2 linked regions of the Chlamydomonas reinhardtii genome follow. The main gene of each other region encodes a partner of the protein of the gene in region 2 in a complex. Links are inferred from orthologs where the notes say so. Each region holds a gene or a part of one and is shown on either strand. Other genes may lie near its edges.

Evidence for each region. Proteins that work in one complex are often made in the same cells at the same time.
Region 1: CHLRE_09g403300v5 (region 2) and CHLRE_03g172050v5 share a complex: the UniProt entries of both Arabidopsis thaliana proteins name them as parts of the 7-subunit TFIIH core complex. The link is inferred for Chlamydomonas reinhardtii from reciprocal best matches to the Arabidopsis thaliana genes AT4G17020 and AT1G18340.

The regions. Positions count from the first base shown.
Region 1 is NC_057006.1:4,011,031-4,014,772, reverse strand, and holds the start of CHLRE_03g172050v5 (uncharacterized protein), read left to right. Parts: upstream 1-1,497; 5' UTR 1,498-1,597; coding exon 1,598-1,604; intron 1,605-1,681; coding exon 1,682-1,785; intron 1,786-1,925; coding exon 1,926-2,005; intron 2,006-2,516; coding exon 2,517-2,680; intron 2,681-2,893; coding exon 2,894-3,154; intron 3,155-3,515; coding exon 3,516-3,742. Other genes in the region: CHLRE_03g172100v5 (uncharacterized protein), read right to left, coding at 1-172, 466-657, 894-1,025, 1,170-1,244. UniProt on the Arabidopsis thaliana protein: Component of the general transcription and DNA repair factor IIH (TFIIH) core complex, which is involved in general and transcription-coupled nucleotide excision repair (NER) of damaged DNA and, when complexed to CAK, in RNA transcription by RNA polymerase II.
Region 2 is NC_057012.1:641,018-644,759, forward strand, and holds the start of CHLRE_09g403300v5 (uncharacterized protein), read left to right. Parts: upstream 1-1,054; 5' UTR 1,055-1,455; coding exon 1,456-1,566; intron 1,567-1,849; coding exon 1,850-1,895; intron 1,896-2,050; coding exon 2,051-2,309; intron 2,310-2,608; coding exon 2,609-2,765; intron 2,766-3,020; coding exon 3,021-3,277; intron 3,278-3,639; coding exon 3,640-3,742. Other genes in the region: CHLRE_09g403350v5 (uncharacterized protein), read right to left, coding at 71-115, 335-544, 725-781. UniProt on the Arabidopsis thaliana protein: Component of the general transcription and DNA repair factor IIH (TFIIH) core complex, which is involved in general and transcription-coupled nucleotide excision repair (NER) of damaged DNA and, when complexed to CAK, in RNA transcription by RNA polymerase II.

The DNA.
Region 1 (3,742 bases), on a different chromosome or scaffold from region 2:
CCGCCGCCGCCAGGCTCCGGGCGTCCATGCGGTCCACGTACAGCACCCCGGCCAGGTGGTCCACCTCGTGCTGCGCGATGCGCGCCGCCCAGCCCGTCAGCCGCAGCCGCAGCGGCAGCCCCTCCACGTCCACCCCCTCCAGGTCCACCTCCCGGTACCGCCGCACAATCGCCTGCAGGGGCGCGGCAACAGCAGCAGCAGCGTGAAAGGAAAGCATACGGCGGCTTGCGACAGTAGGTGGGTGTGCATGTGGGGCTGGCGTGTGCCAGGCCCCGCTGCTTCGCCACCAACTGCCGCAGCACCGCCCGCCCAGCTTGGTGCTCCTCTGCCAGACACTCGCATCCTACACCCCAACACAACCCACTCCCTCTGACCGCTTATCCCTTTGTACGGCAAAAACCGCCCCACGACCCCCTCTCTTCCCTCATTCCCCAGGCAGGCAGACTGCCGCGGCCACCCACCCACCGTGTACCCGCGCACGCTGAGGCAGCCCTCGAAGAACGCGCCGCCCTCCTGCCCCACCGCCTTGAGGGTGGGGTTGACCACCACCAGCGGCCCGAACGGCCGCCGCTCCACCGCCGCCAGCAGCTCGGCGCTGTACACGCCCGCCGCCGCCTGCCGGTCCATGTACTCCTGGCGGTCCTCCATCACAATTACCTGCGGGCCCCGCAGCGATGCAGCGAGGAGTGGTGTGCGAACATGCGAACATGCAAGTGCGAACCTAGCGTGCCGATGTGGGTCGCCATGCCCCTATTGCTCGCTCCTAGCTGCGTGCACCAACGTGCGGTGATGGAGTGACACCGGCACATGCACGGCAACGCGGCACCAGCCCAGCCGCAGCCTGCCTACCGCACTGCCCACCGCCCCCCTTCCTTATCGTCTACACCACCCACCCGCCAGGGTTCGCCAATCTGTGGTGCGGCCAGCCCCACCCCCGGCGCCGCACGCATGACGTCCGTCATCTCCTCTGCCAGGCCCCGGAGCCAGCCGCTACCCAGCAGCTCGCGAGGCACCGTCTTGGCAGGCTGTGCTGCGGGCAGAGGAGCAAGCAAGTCACCGAGCCTCAACCCCAACCAGCGTGCGGGCCGGCACAGGAGCGGGGACAGGGGACGGAATGCTGAATGCAAGGGGTGTGCGGCGAAGCTGCGTGTCAGCTGTAAAGCTCGCACCTGCCGTAGGACGGGAGACCCCGCCTGGACGATGGACCGCAGCTTGGCCGCATCGGGGGCTGGGGAAGTTGCCATGGCAACGACACCCTGACCCCGTGGAGCACCCGTACGTGCAGCCCGCTCCGTCCGCTGCAGCTGTCGCTTCGCCGCTGCTGACGTGCAGGTGTAGCGGCTTCCAGAGAGCATAGTTGGCCTAGGAAACAAGCGCAGTGGAGCGATCTAGAACGTGAAGCTGGGGCCAATGGACCCGCGTGTATTTATTGCATCGATCGGAGTCTTCCGTGGATTTTCGATGCCAGTCAATACATGAATTATGTATAGATATCAAGCTTACAAGTAATAAATCGGGAAGCAAGTCTATGAATGTGTCAATGAGCTGCACTGCACATTAAGTTCCGCGCGCTGCTCGCGCGGCGGGCGCCGAGGCCATGGCGGGCAAGTCATTCGGGGCTTAAAAACATTAGGTTAGCAATGTCATTTAACGCGACTGAAATGGACTCGCTCTGTCGCAGACGAGGGCGATTTGCTGGTGGTGCTCTTCGACCTGGTGCTGCTGCGCCCGGATAATCCCTCGGCGGACTCCCTTGACGTGACTCCGGCCGAGATCCTGTCTCAGGTGGGGCCGGGGAGCGCACGCGGGGAAGAACCATCGCGTTCCGCCTTTGTCTGCCGTTCGCGTGCTGACCTGCTGCAACACCTGCACCCCATGCCCATACCCTTCCCTGCCCCTCACCTCCTGCCCCTGACTTCCTGCAGCTCCTGGCTTTTGCAAATGCCTACACCATGCTCAGCAGCCACAACCGCCTCGCCGTGTTCGCGGGGCAACACGACTTCAGGTGCGGGGCTGGCCGGCCCAGACGGAGCCTATCTCCTGCTTCGTAGCCGACCGCCGCTAGCAGCCAGCCGCCAGCCGCCAGCCGCCAGCTACCTCCGCATGGCGCCTCCACACGAGCGCCATGGCCCCATGGGTCCCTGGCGCTGCTGCAGTGCCAAGGCTGCACACAGCACACGCATGGGGGGCATGGGGGGTGCGAGCTGCTCTGTGCGAGTGTTCGGGGTGTGTGGCGGCCGCTAGCAGCCGGCCAGGTGCTGGGGCCAGCCCGGACCGTGCGGCACACAGGCCGTGACGCACACAGGCCGTGCCGTGGTCTGGACGCAGCTGCACTCCTGCTGCTGCTGTGCCGCCTGCTTCCCAACCTGTGCCGCCCTCTCCCGCGGGTGCCGCCTGTTTGCGACCATCCCACGTCTCTTCCAACCCACCACCTGCCCGCACCTACTACCCCTCCGCATCAACTCCACTCGTCATCCACCCTCTCCCCCTCTCCCCTCTCCCCTCTCCCCCCTCAGCCACCTGGTGCACCTGGGCCTGGGCGAGGACGCCAGTAACACCGAGGTCTTCCCCGCCGGCGCCCTGCACACACGACTGACGGACCTGGTCACGCAGTGCGCGGCGGCGGCGGCGGCAGGAGGCGCGGGCGCAGGGGCTGCAGCCAATGCTGGCCAGGGCGCAGGTGGGAATGATGCCGCGTTGGCGAGTGGCAGCGCCTTGTTTGGGTGGTGGTAAAGGAGGGGAATGTGTCGATGTCGGGCGCACGGACCAGGGTAAAGGCGCTTGCATGTTCGCCGTTCACCGTGCATCGCATCGCGCTTGGCCCCAGTCTCTCTGCCGTCTGCCGGCACTCACGCAACCCCCCACCCCCACCCCCAACCCCACCCCGCCCCAGGCCCCGGCTTCGCGCTGTCGGGCGCACTGTCCCGCGCGCTGTGTCTGGTCCACCGCCTGCAGCAGCAGCAGGCGGCCGCGGGCGGGCGGCCGCGCGGGCGGCCTCGTGTGCTGGCGCTGCTGGGCTGCGGCGACACGGCGGCTCAGTACATCCCGGTGATGAATGCCATCTTCTCCGCGCAGCGCGCCCAGGTGGTGCTGGATGCGGTGGTCGTGGCGCCGCAGGACTCGTCCTTCATGCAGCAGGCCGCGCACCTCACAGGTGCGGTGCTAGGGCGCTAGGGCGGTAGGGTGGTAGGGTTCTAGGGTGGAAGGGTGGTAGGGTGGTAGGTGGTGGGCTGCTGGGTGCTTGAGGGCTTGGTGGCATTCGTCGGTGCTCAAGGTGGTGTTTGAGGAAGGGCTGCAGTGGGTGCGTTGGTTGATGCTGGTAGGCCACGCATGGGATGGGGCTAAACAATGGTTGGCTGCGCCGTTGAGCAGTTTGACGTTCTACGAGCCAGAGCATACCGGTATGACCGAGCGAGCCACAAGCTGAGGCCGCACGCTGCAACCCGGTGGCAGCGGCGGCGTGCTCGGCTCGCTGACACAACCAAACCCACAATGCCCAACATGCACACACGCAGGCGGGCTGTATTTCCGGCCGCACCGAGGTCGCGGCCTGCTGGGTGTGCTGCTCAACCACTTCGTGTGCGACACCGCCACCCGCAAGCAGCTGGATGAGGCTCAGGCCTTAGGGGTGGACTTCCGTGCCTCCTGCTTCTGCCACAAGTACGTCATAGAGACTGGCTACGTGTGCAGCGTGTGCCTGTCCATTTTCTGCCAGCCCAGCCGCTCATGCACCACGTGCGGC
Region 2 (3,742 bases):
ACTCGAGCCTGCGTGCGGTGTGTGCCGGGGCGACGCAGCGAACTTCAGCTCCGAGGGCCCAACCGCTCACCAGGATCTCCGCGACTTCGCTCAAGGTGTCCTGGTCGTCCGACTCCTGCAAGCGTTGGGGCCGGCGAGTTCAGGGTGCGTCGCCGAACCTGTCACCAACGGCTGAACGACAATGCTGTGGTGACCGCACCGCCCAAGGAAACCTGCCCCGGGCGGTGCTCCATATCATGCAGAACATCGCGATGACGCAAGAGCGCGGCTAGGGACGCGTCTCCACCGCGAGCCAATTCAAGGACATGCCCAAGTCCCAGGCTTCACGCCTCACCAGCAGCTCCATGAGCCAGGGCAGAGCCTCTTCGCCGCAGTATAGGGCGTGGTTGACAGCGTCGATGTCATGCTCAAGCTCCCCAGCTTCAAGGCTTGAAGTGAGCATTCCACGGAAATCGACAAGCTCGGCTATTGTTTGCGCCTGACTTGTCGCATCCTTACCAAGCGCATCTTGAGTAACAGCTACAACTCCTTTACCAGAGCGAGCCTGCAGTTTGCGGGAGCCAGGGCGCTCAAAGCGAGGCCCCTCGCCGGACAAATTTGGATTGTCCCGCTGGGTCCTCGCCACATGTGCGCTGAGCGCGCTGACCTGCCTTAACTCAAGTCATTTACTCCTACTCCCTCTGGGCGAAGGTTTCTGGTCCAACAGCACTCCGCGCGAACGAACCTTGATGGCCAAGGCGCGCCAGGCTACCGCGGCTCCTGCCGCTGCTATCAACAACATTCTGTTAAGGCGCCTTCCCCTGCTGCAACAGCAGCGCAAGGAGCGCGAGTCGGAAGTCGACTGGCCAGGGTTTAACACCCGTCTTGGCAGAGGTAAACGTTGCCGTAGAAGAAATGAAAAGTTATGAGCGCTCTTGCTGTTTGAAAAGTATGCGTGGCAAGAACACTTACCATCAGGGAGAGAAATTCTACAGTATAGTTACCATGGGTCTCCTCATAAACAATCTTCTGCAGCCCAGAAAATAAATTGTCAATGCATTCTCGACTCTTATATGTAAAATTCCAAGCTCTTTCTTATTGTATGCGCGCACCAAGGTGTTTGCACTTCACTGCTATTTAGCACCGCTGCACTTTCAAACACCAGCGAGTAGATCCCAAGCATTCTCGTGCTTAACGTTATTCTATTAGATAGCGTGCTCTTGGCGCAGGAGCCGCTCGGAGGGTCGGCAAGAGTCCGGCGAGGGTCGCGCCCTATTAGCAAATATCTCTCTGTCCGCGGATCGTATTCCTAGGGCGGGGGCATCGAGCGCCGTGTCAAGCCCCGCGGGTGCCACGGCACGGGTCTGCGGGTGGTGTGCGTTCACGCGGGGGGCTCCAGTGTTCGAGCCAGCCATTCCGCATCACCCCACTCCTAGATCCTAGCCTTCTCCTCGCCCACTATCAAATACAACACGAATGGACTTCGCTGCCTACATCAGTGGCCTGCCCGGCCCCAAGCGCGGCGCTCTATACCGCTCCCCCTGGACCTGCCTAGCCGTTTTCAGGAATCTGCCGCCTCTGGCGCAGGTGGGTGGTACCAGTGGTGTTAGTGGTTGCTGCGTTGGCTGCCGCAAGCGGTGTGGAGTGGCGTGGCGTCGATGGAGCGTGCGCGGAGGGGTGGTAGCAGGCTAGCAGCGGACAATTGACGCAACGGGGGCTATCTGAGGAAGGCGAAGCGGACGAGGAGGCTTTGTCGAATCCGCCGTATCAAACGCCACGAGTCCATTCAGTGATATTGCACATGGCGGTGCAGTTGATTGTGAGGGTCAGGGGTCTCTTTTACATGCTGTCTGCACGGCTGCGGCTGCAGGTCTATGTGATGCGGCTGCTGTTCGTGCCGTCGCCCTTCCCAGCAGGTGTGTGCGCTGTGTGCGTTTGCATGTTCCGCTGGGCGTGTGTGCACGGCGGGGTGAAGGCGAGCGTCGGGACCATGCGTGTGGGCGCCACGTATGCTTGGAAATCACAGGTTCACTAAACGCTCATAAGGCTTACCTGGCGCTACCCAACACAGACTTTGTGGACAGCTGGGCAGCCAAGGGCGCGGCCAGCGGACACAAGGCAGCGCTGTCGGCACTGCGCGGACTGGACGTCCTTACAGAGGTGGCGGCGCCCGGGGGCCCTGGTGGAGGCGGAGGGCCGGACGCAGGGGCGGCGGCGGCGCTGGCGGCGAGGGCCGCGGCACGGCAGCAGCGCGGTGGTGTCGGTGCGGTGGCGCTGTGGTGCCTGCACCCGGACTTCCGGGCTCAGCTGCAGACGGTGGTGTGCAGCGGGTGAGTGTCGCCAGGAGCGGGGTAGGAGCGGGGCAGGAAAGGGGCAGGAGCGGGGCAGGAGCAGGGCAAGAGCGGGACAAGGCCGGGGTAGGAGAGCAACAGGGCAAGGACCAAAGGGGCCTGTGGAGCTGTAGCGCGGACAGCAGGGCTGTGGAGGGTCTGGAGGCCGGCGACGGCACGCGCTCCGTCCGGGCAGCTCCAGGCGAACCACTGCTTCATAAACATCGGCTGACTCGTCCCCCCTCCTGCCCTCCTCCTCCTCCTGCTCGCCCCCTCCCCCTGCCCACCACCTGCCGCAGTTCCCAGCTCATGCGCGGCGACGTGCCAGCCGCCGCCGCCAGCTGCTGTCCCTCCCTGGAGGAGCTGGGCGAGTGGGCGGTGGGGCAATGGGAGGCGCTGCAGCTGTACCTGCTGGGGAGCAGCCGCAGCCCGCCGCAGCTGCCGCAGCTGCTGAGGGTGAGAGCGCGCACGTGCGAGGACGGGGCGGCGGCGGGCAGGCGGTAGGGAAGGGACGGAGAGGGAAGGGAAGGCAGGAAAGGACACGGAAGGCGTGGTTGAGGAAGCTATTGTCGCCTCCGTGACGAAGCCATATGGGTTGAGCCCTGACGCAGCCGTTGATGCAACAACGCAATCATGGGCCAGGTATACTAACTAACAACAGCAGGTCTCCAGAACAAATATGATGACCCGCACGCGCGCAACCGCTCTCAGGCTCGCAACTACAAAGAACTGGACATCCGGTCGCTGCTTGTGGAAGCCGGACTGCTCGCATTCCTGTCCGACATAGCGGCAGCGGCTGTAGCAAACGCTGCAGGCGGCAGTAGCGGCGGCGGGCGGCCCGCCACGCGCGGCGGCGCCGGCAGTAGCAGCCTGGCGGTGACGCAGCGCAGCTTCCACTGGCTGCTACAGCCGGGGGACAGGCAGCTTTGGGCTGTGCTGCGCGAGTACATCAGCGGCGCAGAGGCGGCGTGAGTCGTGCTTGTGTGTGTGTGTGTGTGTGTGTGTGTGTGTGTGTGTGTGTGTGTGTGTGTGTGTGTGTGTGTGTGTGTGTGTGTGTGTGTGTGTGTGTGTGTGTGTGTGTGTGTGTGTGTGTGTGTGTGCGATAAGGGCTTGTGGGGTGGGCGGGGACGTGCAGGGTACATGCTTGCGGGGGCCAGGCGGGTGGAGACGTCACGGGCGTACTGAGCTCGGGCGCCTGTGATCGCGGTAGTGCCGGCAGGAGGCTGCTATGTGCCGCGTGATGTGTGTGTCAACGGTGGCGTTGGCTTTGAGCCCGACCCCTCAGCCATGCCCACCCCCACTCCCGCATCCACCCCACACGCGCCCGCAGGTCCGGTGACGAGCTGGCCCACACGCTGTCCTTCCTGTTGCAGCTGGGCTTCCGGCGGGTGGGGCAGCCCTGCGCCTGGGCGGAGCTGCGGCCGCCGGAGCAG